Linked DNA regions of Mytilus edulis. The protein of the gene in region 4 purifies or fractionates together with the protein of the main gene of each other region. This does not show direct contact. Links are inferred from orthologs where the notes say so. Each region holds a gene or a part of one and is shown on either strand. Other genes may lie near its edges.

The links.
Region 1: the proteins of exosome complex exonuclease RRP44-like (region 4) and exosome complex component CSL4-like purify together in Drosophila melanogaster (affinity purification with western blotting; 3 studies listed by BioGRID, with this or other methods). This does not show direct contact. The link is inferred for Mytilus edulis from reciprocal best matches to the Drosophila melanogaster genes Dis3 and Csl4.
Region 2: the proteins of exosome complex exonuclease RRP44-like (region 4) and exosome complex component RRP42-like purify together in Drosophila melanogaster (affinity purification with western blotting; 3 studies listed by BioGRID, with this or other methods). This does not show direct contact. The link is inferred for Mytilus edulis from reciprocal best matches to the Drosophila melanogaster genes Dis3 and Rrp42.
Region 3: the proteins of exosome complex exonuclease RRP44-like (region 4) and exosome complex component 10-like purify together in Drosophila melanogaster (affinity purification with western blotting; 3 studies listed by BioGRID, with this or other methods). This does not show direct contact. The link is inferred for Mytilus edulis from reciprocal best matches to the Drosophila melanogaster genes Dis3 and Rrp6.

Annotation. Positions count from the first base shown.
Region 1 is NC_092347.1:86,019,428-86,027,434, forward strand, and holds the start of exosome complex component CSL4-like, read left to right. Parts: upstream 1-5,007; 5' UTR 5,008-5,085; coding exon 5,086-5,113; intron 5,114-8,007. Other genes in the region: protein FRA10AC1 homolog, read right to left, coding at 390-474, 1,026-1,109, 1,541-1,617, 1,900-1,945, 3,024-3,110, 3,305-3,366, 4,730-4,756.
Region 2 is NC_092348.1:9,393,491-9,400,905, reverse strand, and holds the start of exosome complex component RRP42-like, read left to right. Parts: upstream 1-4,397; 5' UTR 4,398-4,483; coding exon 4,484-4,540; intron 4,541-7,415. Other genes in the region: palmitoyltransferase ZDHHC3-like, read right to left, coding at 4,311-4,324.
Region 3 is NC_092356.1:21,512,315-21,520,151, forward strand, and holds the start of exosome complex component 10-like, read right to left. Parts: upstream 3,010-7,837; 5' UTR 2,965-3,009; coding exon 2,887-2,964; intron 2,155-2,886; coding exon 2,018-2,154; intron 1-2,017. UniProt on the Drosophila melanogaster protein: Catalytic component of the RNA exosome complex which has 3'->5' exoribonuclease activity and participates in a multitude of cellular RNA processing and degradation events.
Region 4 is NC_092348.1:60,052,984-60,060,287, reverse strand, and holds the start of exosome complex exonuclease RRP44-like, read left to right. Parts: upstream 1-4,289; 5' UTR 4,290-4,393; coding exon 4,394-4,615; intron 4,616-6,363; coding exon 6,364-6,426; intron 6,427-7,201; coding exon 7,202-7,296; intron 7,297-7,304.

The DNA.
Region 1 (8,007 bases), on a different chromosome or scaffold from region 4:
TTTGATTTTGAAATTTCTTAAACATAGTTTACATATATAAAATTATCAGCCTGGATACTATGTTAATTATATACAAAAAGCATTCCCCTGCATTAAATTTACCAATCTGATACAGGTAGACAGGCTGCTATTTCACATTCTGACTTATTAAGGTAGAAACACACAGTTAGGAGTGTAGTTTCCAATTTTGACCCTAGTGGATTTTTCAAATATGTTTTTGTACAATAAAATTTATTTTTAGACAGCTGATAACTTATCTAGCCTTCAAAGCTGGGTTATAAGAAGACAAACAGAAATCTTAATTTGAAAGAAGGCAAGTGAAAGGGAAGGTAAAATCTATGAGTATACAGGTAGGTTACATTCAGGATATTTGATTTTGATAACATCACCTTGTTTTCCTTGTACCTGCTGAGATCTGTAATACAATACTCCTTGAACAGTTTGTCATAATACTTCTTGGCGAGTCTCTTCTCCCTGTTGATACAAAAAATATTATTGAGTCTGTGTGTCATATGAACCTTTCAGTATAATCTCAATTAATGTATAGATGCTCTGTGATGTTTTAAAGATGTCAGACAGAATAAGACCAGGATGAGGAATATCATACTTTGGGCAGATGAAGAAAATGCATTGAAACCTGTCGAAACCAAATCTTGCAAACACCAAAAAACCTGGCTTCACCAAGTATGATCTTACGCCAAGTTATATCAAATTATATGTGTTGTGAACCTGATGAATCAGATAATCTGACAAACAGAACAAATCTTAAGTCCAGAACGGGATTGGTTCAGACAGGTTTCACTGTTCTAATAATTTGTAAGATGATTTCCCACATGACAGTTAAAAAGACACTGACTCTAGCATAAAATTGATAGCACAATCCTGTAAAACTTGAGAACCATCATATAAAATGTAGTTTAATGTAGATTCTTATATATGCACCATAATTGTCATATTTACAATGATAACATTAAGGAATATTTACTAGAATATTCAATAGTTTATGGATACACTATGTTAAATACCATGTTTCATCAGGATCATCTTCTTCATTCCATAGGAATCTGTGATGCTCTTTAATAACATCTATGTCTCTTTTATCTTTGGAACTAGAAATATATTTATCATTAAATCAAAACTCCAAATGAAATTTATGCAAATGAAAGATAGAGGGGGAAAAAAAATTCTTTTAACAAAGATGTAACCAATGTTCAAATCAAAATGATATCATAAATTTCACTTCATTTACATACAATTTTATATTCTAAAATGTAATTTGTGTTTAAATTGAGATATGACTAGGTTCAAATTTAAGTTTAAATTACATAGACATTTACCTTTGTAGCACCAAAAGCAAAATATGTTCAGAAATAATACTTTTTGTTTAATAAGTCTTTATAATAATGAGAACACATTTGAAGTGTCATTAAGAACAACTTTGGCAAACTTTCAAGAGTTGTCTCCCCTTCTTTTAGTAAGGATGTTTTTTTAATCTTTTAGCAAAATAACGAGTTGTAAGATTTATACAATTAATGCATACCTGTCTCTTTTAAAATCTGCCTTTGATCCACTGTAGTAAAGTATGTAGTCGTTAATAAACTTCTTATGACGTGCAAACTGATTCAATGTCAAGGAAAGTAAATAATGTTCATGAATATTCAAAATTAGTCTACATCAAAATATTATTTTTTGGTATTTCAAGAAAAATAATTTTAACATTTATGTTATATTTTAAATGTTATTTCAAAACAGTCTTCCCATGATATCAACCAATAGACTCATCTTCCTTTCAATTTAATCTACTAAATATGCTATGCCTTCACTTTGCATTTGTTGTTTGTAAATAAGTATGTCTTTAAACATCTTCTATTTTCATTCTATACCAACATAAAAGGATACAGCATCCATACTAAGAACATGAAATCTTTGGTTTTTCCATTCTTCTCTGAAATCAGAATAAAATGAAGTTCACAATGCAACATTTAAAAACAAATATAGATTAATGAATATCATATCTGCACAGTGCACTTAGTCTAAAATTATTCATTCTTGAGAGAAAAAATAATATTCCTCAATTTTTGTAAATGTGGAATTTAAGACCCGAAATATGATTGATGTGATCCCATAAAACAGATAATTCTAACAGTCTTAATTTGATGACGTCTAATATATATTATCAAATTGTGAATAAATCTCTACATTTCAATTTTCAGAGAGTAAACTACTTCTTACCAATTTCAAACAACTCACTAGCCAAAAACTAAGACATTACTTCAACTGATTTCTTTTATTATAATTTCCTTTTTGTAACAAATTATAAAAAAAAAGGTAAGCATTTTTTTCTGTTGAAATATAGCTTTGCTATGTTTACAAAATTATTTATGTAAACCAATACCAGTCATTTATAAGACATGTATTACCAAAGTAAAACTTAGTAGTCATGATTTAGCTATAGAATGTGGTCGCTATTCTGCAATTCCAAGAAGCAATAGACTATGTAGTTTTTGTAAAAATGACATTGAAGATGAGATGCATTTATTTTAAAATGTCCTACTTATCAAGGTCTTAGATCTTATTTAATAAAACCATATTATTGGAGAAAACCTTCTATGTATAAATATATATATTAATGAGTTCTAATAATCTTAGAGAATTATGTTATATGGGTAAATTTATATTTCGTGCACAAAAATTAAGATCTAACATGATGTAATATGTTTCACACATTACCTTCTGCTATCTATGTATACTTTGTGTAGTTTATATGTTGTATGCCTATAGTTGTTATGACTTTGGTAAATAAAGATATAATATAAGATTTTCCTGAAATTGCTGTAAGCTAGGTATGGAAATATTCTACTGTGAGACTTTTGCTTTGAGATCTACACCATCTTTTTCTGTGTAGACATATTCACTAAGTAGATTGTAAGATAAGTATAGGTTTTTGGAGGATGTTCTTTCTTAATTTAATTTTTTGAATTTTAAAAAAAAATATTAATATTAAACTATGACATTAAACATACTTGCTGTATTCTTCTTCGACATGTCTTTTGTTTGTTATCTTTTCTGATGCTTTCTTCTTTGGTGGCACTAAATCATTCCTCTTCTCTCTGAAGAATAAAATCAAATATGTCCCTTACTGCTCACAGAATCATAGATTTAAATTTATATCATCTTTGAGCATAAGGTAATAACATGATATCATTTTTAAAGTAAAGACAAACACCATTTCAACAATACATGTATCATAATGATATCAACATGTCATCACAGAGGTAAAATAGGAAAACTAGACAATAGTTACCTTCTCCTGTCTGCTTCTGAGTCATATTCAAATTCTGAATCAAGACCACCTCCTTGGTGAATCTAAAATTTAAAAACAAATATCAGTCAGGGGACTTACTGAAATAAATGATTTTTAAATCACTTATTTGAGTAGCAAATTCAAGGTTTTGTCACAAATTGGGATTTTGTAGTTTTTTCAAAATTTTAAACACATAGATTTAAATAATATCTTTAATTAGTAAAATTTAAAAAAAAAAAGAACTTTTTGCTTCTTTTAAGTAGCAAGGTTTATGCCTTTGATGCTATCATGTAGCTGAAAATTCTATTTTAGTTGAAAAATGCTATAATAATGGCTTTACATAATGAACTGACACTTTCTTAAAAGATTTTCCCCAGCAGTGGGAGTATTTTTCCTGTGAAGTTCAAGGTTTCATCTTTCAGATTATGTAATAAAAGAGGGACGAAAGATACCAAAGGGACAGTCAAACTCATAAATCTAAAACAAACTGACAACGCCATGGCTAAAAATGAAAAAGACAAACAGAAAAAAAGTGATTTTTATGTCATTATCCTTGATTCAGTACAAGGTCATCACCTGAAATGACCTGGTCATCCTAGACAACACAGATGTTGGTTCTGATAAGTTTAGAAACATAATTAGTCCCTGGATCATTAGTATTCTATATTTAAAGCTACAATAAAATTAAATCACTTCTTCTAGTGATTTATTTGTACTACTTAAATAGGTGATTATTGAAGAAAGACAACTCTAACTTCCAACCTTTATGGAAATAATGTTACTTGAATCGGTGATTTAGAAAATCACTTATTTAAGTAAGTCCCCTGACTGAATATACTTAAATGTAATCTCAAAGAATAAGACTTAATTAAGTTACATCAAATATCTACTTACATAAGCATCATGATGGATGCCACATGTGGAGAAAGATCTGCTTACCATTCCAAAGCATTTGAGGTGGGTTTTTTTTAAATTTTACTAATTCCTCAGTTTTTGGAAAGGTTCAGGTTGCTTATTCTTTGGTTTATTATACTGTTACATTGTATATTGTGTTTGTAAATTGAAAAACAAAGGATGAGAGGGAATTAATCCACATAAAAAAAGTATTTACACACATAAAATAAACAACTGCACTTTTGTTGTTGTACTTCATGTGGGTCTCATTTGGGTCTAAGCATGACGCGGAATTGTCAATTTTTGTAAGCGCGACATGTGAAAGTGAAATTATTGTGCCGTGAAGACGGGAAATGAAGTCTAGCAGGACACAGGAAATAACGACAATTGTGTAAACAGGATACGGGAATCTGACAAAACAGTAAGCGGACCCGGGATCAGAACCCCCCACCTCCAATGAGACCCCCCTTCATCCTGATGTTACAGTAGCTTGTTTTGTATATTTTATTGGTTTTTTTTAATGGTGTTTACCTTTGCAAGATCAAAAGATTCTGCCATATTAAGACATCAAATACAGACGGTATATTTCAAAACATAAGCAAGAATAGAATATTCATATAATATTGTTCTGCACTTTCACTTTTGTTTCAAAACAGGATATGCTTTGGACCATCTAATTTTGAATAGGGGTAACTGTGTCAAAATATAATATTTATCTAAATAAGTCTCTCTTTTTCCTGCGGTTTATATATGTTAAAATACATTGTAACAAACAAATAAAGAAGTAATTTGTAAACTAAGTCTAACTGTTCATTGTGAACAATACAAAAATGACAAATCCTACACCAACTTAAAACATTCACACCCATGAAATAGAACAATCCAATATGTCTGCGCCCAGGATTTGTGTTCCAGGTAAACATGCTCAAATTCAACTGATTCCTGTCATATTTTACAGTAAAGATTAAAATTTTTACGCACAAAAGCATAAGCAATTAATTTTCAAGTGAAGACATATCATTTTATGTGATTTAATATGAGGCAGGCATTACCTGGGAATGGGGACGAAGTCTATGGATTTTTTTTCGTCCCCATATATAAATGGCACTGGCTACGGTTACATGGAAATGTAACAATAAAAAAAATATTATTGTTACATCGGAGACAAAATTTCTTACAGCTATAGGAACGAACTCTGAAAAAAATGATATATCAAAAGCAAGGTTTGCTAACTGCTAAGTTGGATACTGAAATTTGAGGTAAACCTAAAATCCGTAATGGACGGCAGTGCGATCATATTGAAAGACGACATGAAACTATACCACATGCTTTCAACCAAAATATTGGATGAGGAAGTATTTCTCACCAGAAGCATGGCAAACATTAAAGGTTGCCTTATCTTCTAAAAGGAATATTGCAGAATAGAATTGCACGGTATGCAATACAGACGTTCGTAATGCGGCATCACTGGGAATCCGGGTCCGTTCGCGCCCATTCACGTTCGCACCCACTCATGTTCGCCCCCATTCACTTTCGCACTCTACATGTTCGCACCCAAAGTCCGTTCGCACCCTACATGTTCGCGCCCAATTTTAACTTTGTAATCAAGTAGTATTCTTATAAGTATTATTGTTTTCATTGTCTCAAAATAAAGTGATACAGCATTTTTTTGTGTTGAATAAATCTTTATCATGTTTTGGTTAGTGTATTACTATAACTTTGTTTCATTGACTTGTTTCAAAATGAAGTGAGATTCTGACTACGTTTTTTTTTTAGTCTTGAATAAATTTTATCATGTTTTGGTTATAATAGTGTATTGCTATATTTTATTGTTTCATTGTTTCAGATTAAAGGGACCAAGCTGTTAAAAACAATTATCTTTTGTGTTTTTCATTTATAATCTTCAATCTTTTACTCATACCAAGCTATAAATACATTCAGTATTTACACGAAAGCAATTAAAAACAACAATGATTATTCAACTGGAATTTGAATTAAAATTGGGCGCGAACGTGTAGAGTGCGAACGGACCTTGGGTGCGAACGTGCGAGGTGCGAACGTGTAGGGTGCGAAAGTATATTGGGCGCGAACGGACCTGATACCCATCACTGGTGTGTGATGGCTGCTTGGAGTGGATTCATCAAAAATGCATCGGACTTAAACATGCTCCAAAACCACTTACTCAGGATATGTAGAAACTGTCATTGTAAATACAAAAATAAATAAATTGTATGTAATAATTGTATGTATTGTAAATATAAAATAAACGTCATCAATTTTTATAAATTAGTACATCCATCTTACAAGTCCCATCGTACATTGCTGTTTCAAGTTCATGTAACAATAACGCTATGTAACCGTAGCCTCAATATTTATTGTTACATTCGTAATTAATCAGGTCCTTACCCGACCATGCATTCCGGTATTTAGTCTCCAATGTAACAATAATATTTTTATACCCCCGCTTTAAAAAAGGGGGGGTATACTGTTTTACCTCTGACTGTCCGTCCGTCCGTCAGTCAGTCCGTCCCATGAAACTTTCGTCACATTTTTCTCAGGAACTACACATCCACCCTTTCTGTAATTTGGTATCAACATTTATATAAGTCAGCTATACAGTGTGATGCGTTTTCAGATTCATCACTCGACAACTTCCTGTTTACCGAACACTTGTATGATTTTACACATGATAACCAAGTTGAAAATTTTCGTCACATTTTTCTCAGGAACTACAATACAAGGATTTCTGAAATTTGGTTTCAGGATTTATATAAGTCAGCTATACCGTGTGATGCGTTTTCAGATTCATCACTCGACAACTTCCTGTTTACCGAACACTTGTATGATACACATGATAACCAAGTTAAAACTTTTCGTCACATTTTTCTCAGGAACTACAATACAAGGATTTCTGAAATTTGGTTTCAGGATTTTTATAAGTCAGCTATACCGTGTGATGCGTTTTCAGATTCATCACTCGACAACTTCCTGTTTACCGAACACTTGCATATTTTTACACTATTAATATTATCCACTTGCGGCGGGGTATCATCAGTGAGCAGTAGCTCGCAGTTTCACTTGTTATTATTGTTACATTTCCATGTAACCGTAGCCAGTGCCTATATAAATCAGACTAAATCAAATACACAGTATGGCAGTGTAACCGGAGAGCACGAATTTCATTACAAAATTGCTTGTCTCCACCGGGACTCGAACCCGGTACCTCTGTGTTACAAGGCAGCGCGCTAACCCACTGGGCTAAAGAAGTACTTCCTTAGCTCAACCGCTTATGGCTGACTAGTTAAGTACCTACTTAAGTTTTTCTAAAGGAAGCAATCCTGTCACAGCAGTAACAAATTCTAAATCTAAATTGTCTCTATAAATTTTTGAAAATCATTTCTGCTATTGTCAGAATATTTTATGATCAATATCTGAAGTAAATGCCAAAATGAAGATACCCACATCAAACCCGTGCTGATTCATAGATAAGAATAACTGTTGGGATAGCCAATACACACAATTTCTAGTATTTTTATGCTCGCTCCATTTACTGGGCATTATGTTTTCTGGTCTGTGTGTTAGTCCGTTTGTCCGTCCCACTTCAGGTTAAAGTTTTTGGTCCAGGTACTTCTTGATGAAGTTGAAATCCAATTTATGGGCATTATGTTTCTGGTCTGTGCGTCTGTTCATTTATTCGATCATCCGTCCCACTTCAGGTTAAAGTTTTTGGTCGAGGTAGTTTTTGATGAAGTTGAAGTCCAATCAACTTGAAACTTGCTACACATGTTCCCTATGATATGATCTTTCTA
Region 2 (7,415 bases), about 51 Mb from region 4:
ATTAAAACAACTTCTAAAGGTTAAGAATTTGTTTTGTAACAATTGCAAATGTTAAATCATGTGTCCTTTTGAAATTTGTATCAAACAACTGGAATTTGGAAACTTTTGTTGTGCATGTTCCTCAACAGTGGTGTTGGTAGCATAAGACGACCTTCCTTAGCTACAGCCACTTTGTTGTATTCTATTTTATAGAACATGGTTAGTCTAGCGTCTTTTCTCCTTTTTCCCATGCAGAGATGGTCATTCCTGCAGGTGCTCACTCATTTTGCTGACACTTGAGTGATTATGGTGTTTGTTGGACACATTTCTTGCTGCTCGTCTCTGGACCATTTCTAGACAATCTATTTTTGTTTTAAAGTATGGGTCCCATACTGGACTTGCGTACTCTATTAATGAATACTGGTGTTACGTTCGGATTGGGGCTATTTCTGTAGCCAGTTCGTTGAGTAGTTTAGGTTTTATATTATCTGGTCCAGCTGCTGTATTTGGATTTATTATTTTTCAGAAGTTTGAGTAAACCATTTTCTGTGATGTTGAGTTCCTCTGCTAAGGGATATTGACCTGGCATATTGCATCTGGATTTAAACTCGTATTCATTGTATGTGTCCTTGGTAGAAAATTTGAACGACGGAGCTCTCTTTGTACCATTCTCTTTGTTTCTTTAAGTTTGGATGTTATTGCAAGTTCAGCTGACTTTCTATGTTTTTGTACAATCTGTCAAGGCGTTTTTTAAGTTTGCATACTGATGGTGTGAGCCAAGGCAGGCTGTCTTTTCGTTAAGGGGTTTTGTGCGGGATGTGATTTATCACACTCTGGTTTAAGTTGGTCTTAAAGACTAAACAGAGTTCCTCGGATGAACTGCAGTTTGCAGCTAGCTATATATGGACCATAATTTGGTATTCGGCCTTTGGTTTCCTTTTGTATCCTTTTTTATAAGTTCTAAAACTTTAACTTTTATTCTGTGGGTTGTGTTGGTGTCAGAATAGTATTAATGGAACAATTGGGTTTTTCAAGAAAAAATTAATACATTCATGACATTTTGATTCACCGTTTACGTGACAGGAAACCAAACAGGAAACCAATCTTTATTTTCTTTATTTTGCACAATATATTTCAAAAGACATAAATGAACACCATTACTAGTGTTACTTGATTCATGTTAATATTCAAAATCTATTTTCAATGTTAAATTAAAGATTTTTTTAAACGCAACAGGAAACCATAAGAAACCGAAAGCATTTTTTTAGTTTTATTTTATTGCAAAATCTGCTTAAAATAATCTGAACAGTATACTTTTTCTGAAAATCCATCTTAAATGTAACAGTATTATAAAACTCCTAAATATGTGCTTGTTTTGAAAACAATTAGTACAATTTATTCAGAAATTTCCATATTTTCTTCATTGATACAGGATACCATAATCGTTGTATCTTGATGTTTTAGCCAAAAAAATGTATTTATAGATGGTTTTGAAATTTCAGTTATATACAATTTATTCCAAATCATTGGCAATGTAAAATTCTTTAAATCCAGTAAAGAAATTTTTTTTAACTTGTAATTAAAATCTTTAAAATAGGCACCATGTGATATTTGTGACCTGTACACCATCTACATGCTTTCCACATTTTAACCTACTTTAGTGGGCTAAAATCAATAAAGTACTTCCTTTCAAGTCATGCATGGTAATATTTACTTCTCCTTTGACAAGTTTATTGCGTTTCTGAAAAGTGTTTGCAGAACATGAATAAAAAAAAAATAATTAAAAATTGTGACAAAGATATAAACTTTGTACATTCCAAGTGTAACGGTATATTAACATGTATTTTTTATTAAATTATCTTTATTCACCTAAAATATCCAGTAATATTTACTGCTGAAGCAAAATCAATCCAACGACCATCTGCACAATGATAAGAGACGTAATGTCGATTGAATTTTCCAAGGACTCTTTACATCGTTATCCGGAAACGGAGTGTGTTATAACGTCTGTCAAATCTGAAATCGATTTTGTCAAGTCTTTGGGCATTATTTTCACACAAGATCGTATGTAACATTATGCACATAGGAAAAATAATAGACCCCTGGCGCAATCTCTTTGAAAATTGTATTTTCCTTTTTTAAACAAGACGAAACAAGTCTACAGATTATGTTTGCTAACATCCCGTTGGAAACAAAACAATGTTTAGACCTATAGTATTTCATATATCCGGCCATAAGGGCGTGATCACATGTTAGTCACATGTTTCACATATGACCGGAAATGATTAGAACTTAACGACAAAAACAATTTTAATAAAAAAAAAAGGAAATAACTGGACTTCTGTTTCGTGTGAAATGTAACGCATAACGATAACGTCCTTTTCTAACTTAATTATTACGAAGAACAAAACTAGAATGTAAATCATCTCTGATTTACCTGTTTGAACATCTCGCGAGAGTTCATATTTGCATATTGTTATAAAGAATTCTATTACAACAAAGCAGATAACATCATCTAAAATTTGCGTTGCGTAATGGGAAACCAAAGTAACGCTAGTGTTCTTACACCTGCTACAGAAATACTTATATAGTTCTCGGCATTTTCTTTTGACTATTCTTATTGGTCGATGTTCTTTATTATTTGAAAGCAAAAGTTACGAATTTGCCGGTGACGATTATCTATAAATCAGTCAGCGTTATGCACTTCAGAAGCGAAAAGTAACGCGAGAAACGACACACAAATACGGTCGTATAATCTTTGAAATTTGTTAATTTCAATTTTTTTTCTAGGGAAGAGTAGCATACACTTGTATGTTGATAAAAAAAAAGGCATCTTTAGATGTAGTTACAACTTTTCTTACAGTAATACACATTTTTATCACTTTTCTATCGTTATAGGAAACGAGCCCAATAGCAAATTATGGTCCATATAGTTCTTTGATCTTTTGATGGTGTTGTCATGCTTTTAATCAATATTATTAACCCTTTCAACGCTACACAAAAAAATAGAAAAATGGCTGCTGCTGCTGCATTTTTTTTTAGTACATTCATTAGAACAGTATTTTCCTTTTCAGACTGCTGTATCTTTTTTATTATATGAGATACAGAGAAAGTTATTGCATGAAAAATGCTCAGGAGAGCATGAACTGTAATGTTAGGCAATTATTTTACTGAAATTTTTATCAGGTTACCTGCGTTTTCAGGTAATTAACAGGTAAAAGGTGTAATTTATTACATTTGTGTTGAATTTTGAATAAAAACTACTTTTAGTCTTCATTTATTTTGTTGTTTTATCTGCCATATTGTAAAGAAGACACCAGTTGCCCGATTTCGTAGCGTATTGTACCATACATAACGTTTTATGTAATCGTGGCACAAATAAATAGCTCCGTCAAAAAAAATTTCAGTCAACCTCCGTTTTCCCCCCTTTTTCTACGTCTCGTAATGATCGATCAAATCATATTTCCCACACGAATTTTATGTAATAAACACATTGAGATAACAAGAAACCTTTTAACTAATCCTTGTTGTAAGTTTCGCCAAGGAAATGCTGAAATTTTTCCATATTTACAGCTTCGTTTCCGATTTCCGCCATTTGCATTTGTCAAAATATTTGTTTTTATTTTCCTTCTATTTTCCTTCTACTGCATGATTTTACTATAAAAATTGTCGGGATTTCAAGCGCAAATGAGACCTTGCATATCCTAGATTCAAACGAGGAAAAATTAGAGAGAACCCGAATGAAAACCGAATGGTTTAAGAGTCCTTATGAAAAATCCTTTTTCATCGCGGCATATGCCGCGAATAGCAGTGGCGAACGGCGTACGTCATCGCGGCATATGCCGTGTATAGCGTTGGAAGGGTTAAGTTATAAATTATTTATTTATATGAACATCTTCAATATTTTATTTTTGATTGTACTGTATTTTTAGTGCTTGATATTGTGATAAAAAGATTTTAAATTATTATGAAGATTTTTTCATTCTCTACTACCATGACTAATCACATCAACATGATCAATGAACAATTTTATTCAGAGCCGGCTAAACAAATTTGCTATTTTGCCGGTGCCGGTAAAATAGCCACTGCCTTTGCAAAAAGCCATTTTATTAATAGAATTTCTACTTTCAATTATCATTGTTTCAGCTTCATTTAGTCTATCAGTGGAACAAAATGTATGTGAAAGAAATATCACATCTTTTTGGATAATCTGATTCAATGAGGAATTTCAGGTGAATAAACATGTTTTTGTTCTCTCATGTATGCTTTTTCTGTTCGTTTCGAGGAAAATAGTGTATTCTACTACGAAAAGTTTTGCTTATAAGTCTTACAGAGGGTCATCCATTCTATAAAGAAGGAATTTTAATGTGAGATTTGTTTGGGATCACCAGGCACAGGGCGCCGACATTTTCCAATTGTTGATGACGTTTTTCGCATTCTTCACACTTCCGGTTTATTTATTCTTACCATGCTTCCCTGTTGATATTAGTTTTATGATAAAATCATGGTTGATGCTTTGTTGAGTGATGCTGAGAAAGTGTTTATTATACATGGCATTCAGGTTTTATAAGTTCTATTCACTATTTAATTCTTTGTACGAAAAATATTTCTGAAAAAAAACCAACTGGCAACACATATCATCATAGTGGAAATAATTATGACATTCTGGCAAGGCTGTTTTATTTTTGTTCTGGGACGCCTTCCTACGACACGAAGGCGTCTCAGAAAAAAAATAAAACAGCCTTGCCAGAATGTTATAATTATTCGAACTACACATATATCTTCTTATTCTTCTTCTTCTTATGGTATCCAGTTATCCATCAGATTTTTGATGATTACTAACTGCTGCGCATGCGTAGGATAATAATAAATAGATATTTACAAAAGAAAAGTGCCAAAAATAAACAAATACTAACATGACATGTGGTTAAAACTATTTACATAACTACTAGGTTTACTGTTTTATATTGTAGAGAACAGTAGGTGTCAACTGTTCTCTAAAAATATTTAAGGTCGGAGAAAGTACTACCTTTGGAGGTAGTACATTCCATTGTGTAATAGTAAACGGAAAAAAGGAATATTTGTAACAGTCTTTAAATGTAAGTATGTGTCTGTAAGTTTGTGGATGGAATTGTCTGGTTCTATTGTCTGTTGGTATGAGTAAATCTGATGGTATGGCGACAATATGGTGAACAATTTTATAGAACATTATAAGTCTAGTTTTAAGTCTGCGTTGTTGTAAGGTAGGCCAATTTAAGGTATTGAGCATGTCTGTAACGCTACTGGTGTTGTGGTAACGATTTCAGGCATACCTAGCTGCCCTACGTTGAACCATCTCAAGTTTATTGCATTGTTCAGCAGTATGAGGGTTCCAAACCGAACAAGCATATTCTAGTTTTGGTCGGACAAGTGCTAGGTATGCCTGGGACTTAATGTTTGTGATTGATGTTTTTAGATTTCTTTTTAGAAATCCTAGACTTTTATTTGCATTGCCAATGATGTTGTTTGTGTGCTGGTTTCATTTTAGGTCAGATTGTAGTGTTATACCAAGATATTTAGCTGCGGAGACAGATTCTAGTGTATGACTGTGGAGAATGTAGTCTTTTTTAATTGTATTTTTCTTATTTGAGGCTGTGAGAACTGTACATTTGTCTGGATGGAAAGCCATCAGCCAGTCTTCTTCCCACTTTGCAGCAGCATCAAGATCTTCCTGAAGACTATCACAATCTTCCTTAGATTTGATGCTTTTGTAAATGATGCTGTCGTCGGCGAACAGTCTGAGTTTACTGGTTTTCAAATATTCTGGTAGGTCGTTTATGTAAACCAGGAATAGAACTGGACCCAGAACTGTTCCCTGTGGGACACCAGAAGTAACTGGAGCAACGTCTGATGACTCTCCATCCAGGACAACTGTTTGTGTGCGGTTTGATAAAAAGGCAGAGATCCAGTTAAGTGTTTCATTTTGTATTCCATAGAAGTGTAGTTTGTATAAGAGTCTTTGATGTGGGACTTTGTCAAAGGCTTTGGCAAAGTCCATAATTACAAGGTCTGTTTGGGTGTTATTGTCTGAATTTGAAGCCAGTTCTTGTATAAAAGATAGAAGTTGTGTTTCACATGATCTAGAGTGTCTGAAGCCGTGCTGGAGGTCGTATAATAAATTGACATATATCACTGACATATACGCTGGAGTATATACACTCAAATATGAGTCCACTCCTTGACGGGAAGATAGATAGATAGACTGCCTGGATTTGTATTGTACAATAATTGATTATTTATAAATGATCCATTATTTTCAGTGTCGTTTCAAAAGTTAACATAGCTCTCACAGCATGATTAACAGGACAGAGTATGACGTCTTGAATGAGGGTAGGGGGTCTCATTGGGGGCTCCGATCCCGGTTCCCGCTTACTGTTTTGTCAGATTTCCGTATCCTGCTTACACTATGTATGTAGGCAATTCTCATTTTCTTGTCATTTCCCAGGTCTCGCTAAACCTCATTTCCCGTTTTCCTGAGACAATAGTTTGATTTTCACGTGTCACGCTTACAAAAAATCGGCAATCCAGTGTCACGCTTATACCTCAATGAGACCCACAGGGTAGTTCAAATAATTATTTGACATCTTGACAGGCTATTATATTTTTTTCTTTGACGCCTTACCTTGCAGGAAGGGGTCAAAGCAAAAGTTTAGAATACCCTTCCAAGACGTCATAATTATTTGGACCAGAATGAGGGTAGTAATCATTATCAGTTTAGTTTAAACATATTTTATTTGCGTAAATGTTCAAAAGGGATGAGACACAAGTTAATCAAACTTATAAAGTCTTCTCCCATCATTATCAGTCAGGGGACTTACTGAAATAAGTGATTTTTAAATCACTTATTTGAGTAGCAAATTCGAAGTTTTGTCACTAATTAGGATTTTGTAGTTTTTTCAAATTTTTAAACACATAGGTGTTAAATAATATCTTTTAATTATTAAAATTGAAAAAAAATGAACTTTTTGCTTCTTTTAAGTAGCAAGGGTTATGCCTTTGATGCTATCATGTAGCTGAAAATTCTATTTTAGTTGAAAAAATGCTATAATAATGGCTTTACATAATGAATTGATACTTTCTTCAAAGATTTTTCCCAGCAGTGGGAGTATTTTTCCTGTGTGTTCAAGGTTTCATCTTTCAGATTATGTAATAAAATTCTACTGTTCGCGATAAAAATTTCACTGTTCGGGGATGTTAAAATTAGTGGAGGTTTTTAAAATAATCAGTCAGAGCTCAGACATAAATAAGTCTGAATCTGCATTTGACTCATAGAGGTCTAAATTTGTAAGTTTTAGGATTTGTCTCCCTTTAATGCAAGACAAAATACGACTTAAATAAGTCAAATATTGTTAAGCAAGAAATAATTGACCAGAATCAAAATATTGCAAATATCGACT
Region 3 (7,837 bases), on a different chromosome or scaffold from region 4:
TTAAAAGCTTTGGTTGAACGGTTCATGAGTTAATGCACGGACACGACTGGAAACTCCATTTTTCAATCTTTCAAGAACCATAACTCCTGAACGGTAAAAGTCAAACTCGCCATTATTGAACTTGACCTTCATTTAGTTGTCAGTAACAACATATTAAAATTTTAAAAGCTTTGGTTGAACGGTTCATGAGTTAATGCACGAACACGACTGGAAACTCCATTTTTCAATCTTTCAAGAACCATAACTCCTGAACGGTAAAAGTCAAAATCGCCATTATTGAACTTGACCTTCATTTAGTTGTCAGTAACAACATATTAAAATTTTAAAAGCTTCGGTTGAACGGTTCATGAGTTAATGCACGGACAACATTTGATTCCCGCCCGCCCGCCCGCCGTACATCCCCAAATCAATAACCGACATTTTTGTCACAAAAATCCGGTTAAAAATCATAAAACATAAAAGTTTATGAATTACATTAATATGTCATTTGTCATATAATCATGATAATATAAAGTAGTAGTACAACCCTAAATGTCTTAAATCATATATACATACTGATGTGATTCATAAGTGTTTCTTGTTTTTTTAATTTAATACAGATTTAACTAGAGGCTCTAAAGAGCCTGTGTCGCTCACCTTGGTCTTGTGCATATTAAACAATGGACACGGATAAATTCATGACATAATTGTGTTTTGGTGATAGTGATGTGTTTGTAGATCTTACTTTACTGAGCATTCTTATTGCTACAATTATCTCTATCTATAATGAACTTGGCCCAGTAATTTCAGTGGAAAATATTTTCAAAAAATTTACAAAAATTTATGAAAAATGTTAAAAATTAACTGTAAAGGGCAATAACTCCTTAAGGGGTCAATTGACTATTTTGGTCATGTTAACTTATTTGTAGATCTTATTTTGCTGAACGTTATTGCTGTATACAGTTTATCTCTATCTATAATAATATTCAAGATAATAACCAAAAACAGCAAAATTTCATTAAAATTACCAATTCAGGGGCAGCAACCCAACAACAGGTTGTCTGATTCATCTGAAAATTTCAGGACAGATAGATCTTGACCTGATAAACACTTTAACCAGATGTCAGATTTGCTCTAAATGCTTTGGTTTTTGAGTTATAAGCCAAAAACTGCATTTTACCCCCATGTTCTATTTTTAGCCATGGCGGCCATCTTGGTTGGTTGGCCGAAACACGCCACACATTTTTTAAACTAGATATCCCAAAGATGGTTGTGGCCAAGTTTGGTTTAATTTGGCCCAGTAGTTTCAGAGGAGAAGATTTTTGTAAAAGATAACTTAGATTTACGAAAAATGGTTAAAAATTGACTATAAAGGTCAATAACTCCTAAAGGGGTCAACTGACCATTTTGGTCATGTTGACTTATTTGTAAATCTTACTTTGCTGAACATTATTGCTGTTTACAGTTTATCTCTATCTATAATAATATTCAAGATAATAGCCAAAAACAGCAAAAATTCCCTAAAATTACCAGTTCAGGGGCAGCAACCCAATAACGGGTTGTCGGATTCATCTGAAAATTTGAGGGCAGATAGATCTTGACCTGATAAACAATTTTACCCCATTTCAGATTTGCTCTAAATGCTTTGGTTTTTGAGTAATAAGCCAAAAACTGCATTTTACCCCTATGTTCTATTTTTAGCCATGGTGGCCATCTTGGTTGGTTGGCCGGGTCACGCCACACATTTTTTAAACTAGATACCCCAATGATGATTGTGGCCAAGTTTGGTTTAATTTGGCCCAGTAGTTTCAGAGAAGAAGATTTTTGTAAAAGTTAACGACGACGGACGCCAAGTGATGGGAAAAGCTCACTAAGGGCCAGGTGAGCTAAAAATAGTTAGTTTGTGTTGATTACTGTACTTTTGACCTATAATGGTTTACTTTTACAAATTGTGACCATGATGACGAACCGTCTCATTAGCACTCATACTACATCGACTTATATCTATCTACATGTACATGTATGTATCTATAATTACATGTTAAGAATCCTGTTGCCTTCAATATCCAACACTTCTCTGACACCTTGATAACTGGAGTAATAATCAAAGTCATCTCCTGTTGCTGGTAAATCATTGGAACACTTGGTAGCTTGTAAAGCTGTCTTTAGTGCTTGCTGAAAATATATAATTTATAAATCAAATATATGAAAGCACTCAAAGTAATTATATACATGTAGGATAATTTGTTGTGATAGCACCTGATTTCAAGACTTTTGGGATTCTACATTTGTTTTGTGTTCAACATGTTCAGGCTATGCCATTTTCTGAAGGTACAGTATCCTGCATTGATTTGCTAACCGTCCTCGAGCACCTGAGACCACATCTGTTGGTTTTTAATATAGGTGAGGGTCTGTTACTTTTACAAGGATTTTCCATAGTGTTGTCATATTTTTTTTTATAAATGCAACTTAATATTTTGATTTGTTCAATATGTATCCGGTTAAGTCATGTTGGGTATCTTTTCATATGAATTGGACCATTTAGATGCATCAATAAATACTGAGAATGGAATCAGGGAATATATCAAACACAACTTGAATAAAAAGAAGAAAACAACACAGTCACCACTGGGTCTTCCAACAAAGCAAGAACATCCTACTGCCTCACACCAGGAGGCAGCTTCTATGCCTTTGAACTTTTACAGATACTCAGGTTTGTCTGTACTTAGAGTAAATTTTGATGTGAAAATACGGCAATTTTAGCCAAAGGGTCCACATGAACCTTAAAAATTACTATAATTAGCAAATGATGCCAACTCCATACACCTCTCTCAAATTAAAATAACAAGCCTGAAGGATACACATGAGTAGAAGCATTTGCTTCATTGAGGTTTAAACACAAATGACCTGTGTGTAGTTAGTTAGGCTGTCGAAACCAGGCAGAAACTCTTCTGTTTCAGTTTCAGTTTGTTTTTCTTCTGACATTTTGCACGTGTTCTGTTGTTGTTTATTATTTTCGAACTTTTCAGAAAAAAAATGATCAAAAAGCATTCCACAGAACAAATTTAAAACAAAAATAAATATTTCTATTTCAATCAAATGATATTTTTAGAAGTATTGCAGATATTCTTTTTATTATCATTTATTTTACGAACCTAAATCAATGTCTAAAATACTCTACATATCGGTACAGATATGATATGAATTACGAGCCATCAAAAGTGTATCCTGATCGAATGTGTGTATCGTTGATAAAAGATGTATAGACTAGTACTGACTTATACACAATGTAATTGTTTTTCATCTATCAATCATATTCCCTATGTTTATTTCAAAGTCAGACAGATGTTTCTGGAAGGACCCCCCTTTTATTTTTATTTTCATGATTCTTTAACGTTGTAACGTCAATGATTTCGAATAATTTTATGTGTTAACGCTTTTTATATGTATCTCATATAATGCAAAAAATATGGCAAATGATAAGTGAACAAAAAATAAAATATCATAGGAATATTTACTTCTTTAAAAAAAAAAATCTGATAGAATTTAAGAAGACTGAGTGGTAGGTCCGCCCCCCCCCCCCCCCCCCCCAAAAAAAAAAAAAAAACCCTGGCTGTGATATATGTCTCTGGTTTAACCGCTTGTCAGAAGGACAATTCACGTATTGGTTTTAATTCTTTGAGTCATTATACCTCTGCTAGTGGACTATCAGTCCCAGAGGATATCATCAGTTCAGTAGTCAGTACTTCGATACCTACATGATTTATAACATATTTAAAATTGTCCGTTTATAATTTTTCGTACCTATTTATATATACAGAAATAAATATATAACGTATAACGTGTTGTTTTCATTTTTTCTCATCTTTATTAAATTCGTAACTAGATGGGCAATTTCTCTCCATATTCTATATATGATCACTTGTTTACCTGTTATAGTATTTTGAATGTTGTTTTTACATGTTTTACTTGTCAGCCGCACATGCTGCGTTTGGTGCACACCTCCCGTCGTTACACTTTAAATATTTCGACATAGCTTCAATTAATGTAGTTCAAGATAAGGATGTCAACAAAGAACTAGGTATCTTATATCTATATTCATTTAAAAAAAAGATATCTTGCATTTTCACCAGGCATTTTTATTGCTGCCATTTTGTTTAAGGTTTTTCATGCCTATCGTTTAGGTCAAATCGATCCGTATAGCTCTCTCTGGCAGCTTTTTATTATTTTAGTGAAGATGTGCTGAAAATGAATAAAAAGCGACGTTCACTCAATAATATAGGTATCGTCAATGCGACAGCAACACAATACCATGAAAACACAAAATAAATCTCAGCTTATCAAACCAACATAGTATTGCAGTCTCTTAAAATAACAACAAACTAGTATAAATAATTTAAAAAAAATGAGGTATGATTGTCAATAAGGCACCTTTCCACAAAAGACCAAAATAGCACAGACATATGGAACTATATGTCTTCGTACAGCCTTCAACCATAAGCTATAAAAGAGACAAATGTAAAACAATTCAAATGAGAAAAAAACTAACGGCCTAATTTAATTACATGTTCATTACAGACACATACTAAATGCATTGGGTTTGTCTTAGTGATGGAGTCACTTATATCTCTTTATATGTCTGTTTATTTAACGCATCAATGTAAAAATATCGGAAATTGATGAGACTGTCATTAAAGTGAGAGGGTTAGCGCTATAGAACCAGGTTTAATCCACCATTTTCTACATTTGAAAATGCCTGTACCAAGTCAGGAATATGACATGTCTTGTCCATTCGTTTTTGATGCGTTTTGTTATTTGATTTTGCCATGTGATTATGGACTTTCCCAATTGATCTTCCTCTAAGTTCAGTATTTTTGTGATTTTACTTTTTTCATACTAAGTTAAATTAAAACTTTTATTGAATTACATCTTTCCAGAAAGTTTTCTGATTGTTTATATTACTGAATATATTAGTCTTATTAATTGTATCCAATACCTTCGCATGATCCGTGTGTATCACTATTATCTTAATCAAATATTTTCATCTTTACTATTTACACACAATTATCAAATTGGTGTTTATATTTGCATGTCAGTGCAAAAGATGAAAGAAACAGTTTATCTCAATCTGTTGCACTTTTGTACTTTGTGCATCTGTGTATAACACGGTCAGGTTCATTGAGACGACATTTAGTAACAGTCCTTCTGCGTCTATCTAAAGTCCAGCTGAATCCCGACAACAGGGGTTGAGATTTCTCGCTGTGTTGATTGATTGATTGTTGGTTGCCCGACGTCTAGAGGCAAATATTCGCTGTGTTGAAGACATTGTTGGCCGTGGGCTGTTTTCTGCTCTTTTGTCGGGTTTTTGTCTCTAAGACACATTCCCCGTTTCTATTCTCAACTTTATGTAATCCACTGTTATGCATCTTCGGTTTTTTTTTTACATCCGTACGAAATGATAATTACCGTACAGTTAGCTATGAAAGGCCTCGCAACTTCAATCACGGTTCTTCACGTTTATTGATGCACATAAACGTTTACTGTTAATTTGATCTCATGCATCTAATATTTGCCACTGGACGATAAGCAACCAAAATTCAGTCAATTCTTATTACATATTACTACAGGTCGAGAAACCTTACAAGTAAAGTACTATATACACACAATCATACGCTCCAAACAAAGAGAATTGACGGAAATTCGTTTGATAATACTCATCAATTGCCTGGAACTTTTATAGGTTTTTTTTCTGTTCATTTAGCATATACATTGCATGCAATTAGACAATGAGCCAATGAGACAACTCTCCACAATATACCAAATGACACAGAAATTAACAACAATAGGTCACCGTACGGCTTCAACAATGAGCAAAGCCAATACCGCATAATCAGCTATAAAAGGCCCCGAAATGACAAATATAAACAATTCAAATGAGAAAATGAACGGCCTAATTTATGTACAAAAAATAAACGAAAAACAAATATGTAACACATCAACAAACGACAACCACTGAATTATAGGCTACTGACTTCGGACAGTCAAATACATACAGAATGTGGCGGAGTTAAACATGTTAGCGGGATCCTAACCCTTCCCTAACCTGGGACAGTGGTATAACAGTACAACATAAGAACGAACTATAACAATCAGTTGAAAAAGGCTTAACTCATCAGATGGACAAAAATACAAGTGGACGTGGTTTAACCATTCGCATCCGGTATATGCTTATTCCAAGCCAGAGCCTGTAATTCAGTGGGTGTCGTTTGAAGCTGTATATCTTATTTGTTTTTCGTTCATTATTTTGTACATAAATCCGGTAGTTTTCTCGTTTGGATTGTTTTACAAAATTTATTTGTCATTTCGGGCCTTTTATAACTGCATGGTTTTTACTCATTGTTGAAAGACGTACGGCGATTTATATAGTTGTTAATGACTGCATGGTCATTTGGTCTCTGGTGGAGATTATTCTCATTGGAAAGCATACCACATCTTCTTATTCTTATATAAAAAAATCAGGGGCGGATCTAGCAATTTTTTGAAGGGGAGTTCACAACCCAGGATAAAAAGGGGTTCCAACTGCATGTCCCTATTTAAATGCATTAAAAAAAGGGGGTTCCAACCCCCGAAGCCCCCTCTGGATCATTCACTGGAAAAGTTATAAGACGTATTGATTAATTGTGCTGGAGTTACCCCCTTTTTTGTCCTAAGATATATATGCAATGAGTTTGCGAATAATGTGAAAAAAAGTCACATTATATTTTTTTTTATCTTTATTCTCATCATCAAATACATATAAGGTACAAAGAGGACATCACATTAATTACATAAAATATGACTACAAACTACATATACACAAAATACATTTTAGTTCATCACCAGGACACACTCGCTCGTATAAACTTAAATACATCTATGAGATCTGTCTTTTTGGCAGAAGACATAGTTTCAGGAAAGAGTGTTATGTCTGGTCATCTGCTGAAACGATTTCTTGTAATATGTTTCGTCTCTGAACAATATTAATAATCAGTGGCAGATCCAGAACTTTTTGTAAGGGGGACCGCTGACTGATGTAAGGGGCCCCTCTCCAGTCACGTGTCAGTGATTCCTTATATAATCAACCAAATTTTTCCCACGAAAGAGGGGGGCTCCCCCCCCCCCCCGAGCCCCCTGGATCCGCCTATGATAATGTAATTTGATTCATCCTAAATGTCTAGTTAACACAAATAACACTTTTCCCCCCGTTCTTTACAGTAACATTTTAAAGTTCAACTCCAGTTTTATGATTACTCATTCTGAAATTTTAAAATATTTATCTAAACAGAAGGTACAGTAATCGAAGTCTTTTGCTTAGTTTTGAAGAGCCCAAGCCACTTCTGTTTGAATTGATCACATACGGTGATGCTTTAGTATTATTTATTTATTTCAACCATATATATCACTCAAAATGTATTGTACGTGTGTTTCAAAAATAGCAAAATCCAAATTCATAAAAAAATAAAATGAAGTTCTGACCAATTTGAACTTTTCAAAATTTTATATTTTTGGTTTAATGCAAGTGATAAGATAATATGTATATAATATAGGAGAGTTTTGACATTTCATAATTGGTTTAAAGAAATCAATGGAACTAAAATGCAATCATTGAAAATAATCTTAAGACACATTTTATTTATAATACAACATGTGCATGTGTACACGAGATTCCAACGCTTTATTGTCAAATATGTCTATAAGTTTACCACACTTGTCGTCCACAGTACCGACTTGACTGATTTTAGAATGCATTCCTCGTACAGCTAAATAACTTCAATTTCGTATGTTTCGTCATACTATTTCATTTCTTATGTTTATCAAG
Region 4 (7,304 bases):
TGATAAATTCAGTGAAGAACAATACGAAGGCACTAGAAACTATTCCTAGCAACACCGATACATACAAGAACTCTTTCTTTGCCAAGAGCATACTTCACTGGAACCAACTGGAAGACCGTATTGTATGCGCAGATACCGTTGAGAGCTTCAATGCTGCTCTCCAACACCGTTCGTGATAGGTGTCTCTCTCCCGTTGAGTAAAAGCTAGAATTGGTGTCTTCAACGTACACATACACGGATACAGATGGTGGTCACAGACTTGCGTAAGTGGGGCTGGATTTAGGGAGCTACCATTTTTTTTTGGAGGGGCTAGTATCAGTATCAAATTTGGAAAAAAATGCAGGACAGGAGTTTTTAGTAAAGATCAGTAAAAATCAAGACAGGATGAGCAACTTGGCAAAACAAAAGGCTGGATGACAATTTATGTAAAAAAAAATCAGGATTTAATCCGATTAACTAATAAAAAGGCAGAACCGAATAGAGTGAAAAATAAAAAAAGTAGGATAGAGATTACAACTTAATAAAATGCAGAACAAAATGGTTACCCCCTCCCCCCTTAAAATCAAATGGTAGCTCTGTATCTGTATGTTACACAGTGCAGGATCCGATCGCGGATATATGCGCACTGGAAGGAAAGCGGGTTGGTTAGTCCAACCGTTGGAGGGCAGCCATGAATCCCTCAACTGTCTTTTGACATGCAATTTCCTCGTCCAGATGGTTCCACTCCACTATTGTTTTTGGTAAAAAAGAGTTCTTTTGAATGTCTGTTTTGCAGTCTATTAAATTGTACGATCGATCTGTTATTTCTGGTTTCTTGTCTTTCCACGATGTTTGTGTATTGAAAGTCACTAAAGGTTTTTGCCTTGACTTTTTTTTTATATAAATAAGGCCGTTAGTTTTCTCGTTTGAATTGTTTTACATTGTCTTATCGGGGTCTTTTAAAGCTGACTTTGCGGTATGGGCTTTGCTCATTGTTGAAGGCCGTACGGTGACCTATAGTTGTTAATGTCGGTGTGAGTTTGGTCTCTTGTGGACAGTTGTCTCATTGGCAATCATACCACATCTTCTTTTTTATATTGGCGTTTGTTTCTGGTCTTTTGCAGGTAATTAGTTGGATCAATAGCCGTCACCAATCCCTCAAACACTTTGTAGAACAAAGTCAGCCTCTGATGTTTCCTTCGTTCTTGGAGAGGTGGTAGTTTTAGCTTAGAAAGCATAGTATTTGTGACGTACCCGGTGTCTCTGGATTTATAATCGTGCAAGATGAAACGTGCTCCTCTTTTCTGTATACTTTCTATTTTTTCTATTTCCCTGATAGTGAATGGGTCCCAGATGACAGCACCGTTTTCTAGTACGGATCTTACCATGGCTAAGTAGGCAAGTTTTTTGCACTCTTAGGGGCACTGACGCAGGTTTCTTCTCAGGAACCCTAGTGTACAGCTTGCCTTGCTGGTTGTTTTCCCTATGTGACTGGTCCATTTTAGGTCATCAGATATGTTAAGACCTAGGTAAGGATTTGTTTGTACCTGTTCTAGTATGTGTTGTCTAGTTGGTAGAAGTGTGTTGATTTTTGTTTGAAGCTCATTATATAGATTTTTTTGCGTTAACTTTCATTTAGTGCCCATACTTCCAGAGCTTTTAGATCTTCTTGGAGAGTTTGATGGTCTTTTGTGTTGTTAATCTCTCGATAGAGTAGGCAGTCGTCTGCAAATAAACGAACTTGAGATTTTACGCTTTCCAGGAGGTCGTTGATGTGGCATAGGAAAATCAGCGGTCCTAGTACTGTGCCTTGTGGTACGCCAGAGTCTACGTGAGCATATGCTGAGTACTAACCTTCTACGACAACCCGCAATTGATAGTTTTTGCAGGAATGCTGCTAACCATTTGTTAAGATTACCATCTATTCCGTAACTGTTTAATTTAGCCAGTAGTTTTTCATGTGGCACAGTATCAAAAGTCTTTGAAAAGTCGAGTATAGCCATATCGAGTTGAATGCCACTGTCGAAACTCTTTAGTAGGTCTTCTGTTGTGACCACGGGAGGGGGAGGAGGGGGTAACTTCGATATTTTTTTGGTAGGGGTGTGCCATTTTTGCCTCAAAAACATACCCATTTTAATACAACATTCACTGAAATTCAGTACCTATAGTTATATAAATATTTAAGAAAGAATGATCTATACTTATATACAATATTACATATTATGAAAATCATATGATAAAATTATAAAAGTCTTGTTTATAAGTTAAAATCGTTTCGGAATAGCTGTTCTGTAAGATTCTCAATAGCATATTTATATATGATATGTAAATCATACCCATAATCAATATACAGTTATCAAACGTAAAATTAATGCATTTTAATATAAGATGTCATTAAAAAGGAGGGTCATTTTTATATAAAATCTCGCAAAATTATGACTCATATTTTTGGCACATCCCCGTATACCCAATAATAGGAAGTGACCCCCCCCCCCCCCCCTTGTGGTTGTGACTAAGAGCTGTGTTGTGCAAGGTGTTTACAGATGATGTGTTCCAAAAGCTTACATATTACACAGGTCAGTGAAACTGGTCTGTAATTCTCAGCTGCGTGGACCGTGGCCCCCTTCTTAAAATCTGGAGCTATGTTTGCACTTGACCAATCTTCAGGGAGAGTGCCTGTGTCAATTATTTTTTTAAAGATGGCGGAGATGCTAGGTACTAAACCTAAACTAAAAACTTTTAACCAAGCAGAAAGTGACCTACTACAGAAAGATCTGACATCATTAGAGGAATGGGAAGATAAGTGGCAAATGAGCTTCAATGCAAAAAAATGCATTGTAATTAGAATACATCCCAAGAACCGTCCGGTAATACCAACTAATTACAAATTACACGGACACACACTGGACACCGTTGAAGCTAGTAAGTACCTGGGAGTTACTATCAGCAACAATTTAACCTGGGACAGACACATCGACAACATAGTGGGAAAAGGAAACAAAACACTAGGCTTCATACGACGTAACTTAAAGGATTGTACTAAACCGGTCAAAGCAGCAGCATATTCAACAATAGTAAGACCTTCAGTTGAGTATGCTTGCACAGTATGGGATCCTACGAAACAGGCTAAAATAAAAGCAATCGAACAAGTACAGAAAAGAGCAGCTAGATTCGTAAACAACAACTACACAGACCGCACACCTGGCTGTGTAACAAAAATGGTAACATCTTTAAAATGGGAAAGCCTCGAAGACCGCAGGAAACAAAATAGGCTATGCATGCTGTTCAAAATCCAACATGATCTGATAGACATAGATAGGCACCAATATCTGACACCAAACGATAGCCGGACCAGAGGTAAAAACCGCTTCTTCCAAGAAAGGGCCACAACAGACGCCTTCGGACAATCATTTTTTCCAAGGACCATTAGAGACTGGAACCAACTTCCAACATCAGCAACATCAGCTGACACAGTTGATGGATTCAGAGCTGCCCTGAAGGCATGCTCTGCTAAAATTTAGACAGTAACATCCTGTAAATAGTTTTAATTGTATATATATAGAGAACGTTTTATCCTGTAAATAGCCAAGAGAAAACTTTCTGTGTTGTCCGACATTGCGTTAGTTTTCGCGGGACCTCATACATTCAAAATTTGAATTCGGTTCCTTACCTGGAAGAAGAAGAAGAAGAACCTGCATTGATGATGTCATTAATATATAGCCCCATTCACAGTGCTTTTCTAAATTGGCGTTTGCAGTCTTTTTGGAATTGTTTATATTCTTTGTAGCTTCAAGTTTTTCTAGCATGTTTGTGCAACCTTGCTTTACTTTTTAGCATTTTGCGTAGTTTTCTGTTTAACCGTGGAACAGAGTGCTTTTTCTTTATCATTTTAGATGGTACATTGGTCACAGTGTCAATTGTTGCCCGAGTGTACTACGTTCTTGAAGGTTTGCCAGGTTTTATCTATTGACATATCGTGTATATGATTATAAATGTACTTTGTTATGTTTATGTCCGTTTTAATCTGATCCCAGCTCCCTTAATCCAGAGACAAGTCACATATACACATATATATGTCTCTACTTAATCAGACTGTACCCGATGTTCTGTTTTCATAATCAGCTAAATCAAAAAAAAAGAATTTCCTAACCAAATTTGTTAACAAATAACCATGTTATTAAGAAACATCAATGCTTTGTTATGTTTTGCACCAGTTATTCGTAAACTGCATTCAAATGAGTCTTTATGTCTCATTTCATTAAGGAACTTAGCTGTCTTTGTTTTTCCAAGTGTTTAGCTTGTGTCATTTGTTATACCGAAAGACACTCTTCGATGTTGGAGGTACAAAGAACTATCATTTCCGGTAAAAATAAACGCATGTGAATTTTATTTTTGTATTTTAAAATCGCAGAAAATGTTAACAACAAAGACTTTTATCAAGAAGACAAAGAAAGGGAGTATTATAAAGATTGTGCGAGAACATTATCTCCGTGATGACATTACATGTGGATGTCAGAGTTGTACAATCTGCGACAAAAACGATGTCAAACCTTTGGAAAGCAAACCTGTCAACAAAAGCAAATTATGCAAGAAGTCACACTATCTTATCTTGGACACCAATGTAGTTTTTCATCAGGTATAAAATTTACAGGTTCTTTGTTTTTATTATTGAAATCCAGGGTAGTTACACCCACATTACAATGCATTATGGCACATACCTGTTTAAGTGTTTAGGATGTTGATTACATGGATCAAGATATGTTTCTTACTATTTAATATGAGGCAGCATTACCTGTAAATGGGGACGAAGTCTGTATGAATTATTTTTTTTGTAACTTAAATATTTGTTAAAAAAGAGAAACGGAAATACTGTAACGTTTCCTATTTTGGTTCTGTTGTTATTGATTTCAGTTGTGACGTTATTTAAGTTATGACGTCATATGCAATGTAAAAAAAGAAACGCTATCATCAGGTAATGTTTTTTCATATCAAGGAATTATTAAAAATGAAATTGGTATTGCGTTCCTTCCTATTTTATACTAGACTGATAAGTATATATTTTACTCAAAGTTTCATACAAAGGAGACCGGAGAAAGGAAGTACATTGTAGATTTCTGTGCAGGTGCGTGAATTTTTTTTTTTTTTTTTTTTTTTTTTTATTGATTTTTCTACTGTTATTGGGGACTTTGTCCCCATATAAATCAAGAGTGCATCCGCTGTTAGAATATGTGACATGTCTCTGGTAACTGTACCTTTAAAAGACATCCGCAAACTGGAATTTTTACAAAGAAGGGCATCAAAATTAGTAAAAAATATATATCATCTTAATTATGAAAAGACTACGTTCACCTTGGAATATCGTAGCCTAGGGATACATGTAGGAATGATAAGATACAAGTCTTCAAAGTGTTGCATGGTATAGATGACATCAACTGGATGAGCCTATTTTCTTTAGCACCATCTAATAATAATACTAGAGGTCACTAATTAAAACTTTGGGGGGCTAGGATGAAATTTGAAAAAAATAGGCAGGACAGGAATTTTGAGTATAAAAAAAAGAATGCAGGATGAGACACTTGCAAAAAAAAAAGTCAGGATGACAATTTAGGTAAAAAAAAAGTCAGGATAAACTAAAAAAAAAGAAGGCAGGATCGAATAGAATAAAAAATAAAAAGGCAGGACAGAGATTACAACCAAAAAAAAATGCAGGACAAAATTTTTCATCCTAGCCCCCCCCATAAAAATCAAATGGTAGCTCCCTAAGTTAGCATATATTTAAGAGTGATCTCTCTTCAACCTGTTAAATTAGGTATTGAGTATTGTGGAAACAGTTATTCCCATGATTATTTAAAGCTATCAAATGGATAAATGCTCTTTTTGTTTTGATATTTATTACAGTGGACATCTCAATTGATCAATTCCAATTGAAATATATACTGAAACAATTGCCACTTTAGAGATATGTGTTAAGGAATGAGCTCTTATCATTTCTTTTTACCAGTTTGTTTGTGAATGTTTTGTGAATGTTTGTTTTTCTTGTCAAGTGATTTTTCAGGTGCTTGCCTTTCACTTCATTCAAATTTTATGGTCCCAAGAAATTGTTTTGATATAGTTATATTTATGTATGCCATATGATGTAAAAACAGTATGTCTTCATAGAACACATATTATACATGTACATACAAGTATATATATTATTTTAGAAAAAAATTTAGCATTTTTTTAGCTATTTTTTTACACAAAGTCACACGCCCTTTCGGTTGGGATTTTGCATGTTTTGAAAAATGGTTGACAATAAGGGATGAACCCTTAAGAAACATTTATATAAGATTACATATGTCTTGAATTTTTCTTTTTTAAACCAGTTTTTTTTTAATTTTTCAGATTGATGTAGTTGAAGATCCCTCAATTCAGAATGTGATAGTTCTACAGACAGTTTTAGAGGAGGTAGGGTGTATTAGACTTGTTAAATGTTACAATAATAATATATAATAAATAAAGGCCTTTTCCATAATGTCAATATTTTTGCTTTTGTGTGGAGGGTTGTTCAGAAATTACTTTTTTAATCCACCATTTCAGCACTACAAAATTCAAATTCAGATTGAAGGTTCTTACAGGACAACCTACATTATTCTTATATTTTCAGTATCTCCCTCCTCTCTTTTCTTGTATTGACAAAAAATAGTAGGTTTCATGTGGATGTTTGAAATCATGGTTTTGCCAAAGTCTGCATTCAAGCCTTTTCAAAATTTAAAATGGATTCAATGTATATTCAAATTTACAGTTCACTTTTACCAATGAAATCCACGATATTTGGTAAGCCCGGAATCATGATGAATCCACAGTACATGTTAAATGATGTAATTAAGGAGGTAGACCTAGGTTAAGGGAAATAACTATTAAAATCATCAGTACGTTTGTGTCAACCATTTTCATAAATATATTCTAAGCTTCTAGGTTACATAGATTATTTCCAATCTGTTTCAGGTAAGTGCTTAAAAAACATTGATGAAACTTGACTTTAACAAACACATAACTGATTTAAAGAGTTGTCTCCCTGAACAAAGGTCTACCACCTTAAGTGCATATATTTACAAATATATTGTTTTGTAAAAGTTTTAGTACACATAGTTGTAAAGATATACGTATGTATATAAACATTGTTATTTTACTTTTAAGTTTAATAAATTAATAATTTACCTACAATGTAAATCTTTAACAGATTCGACACAGAAGTGCTCCTGCTTACAAGAGAGTCAAAGACTTCATAGCAAATCCAGACAAACATTTCTACACATTCTGTAATGAATTCAACAAGTAAGTTC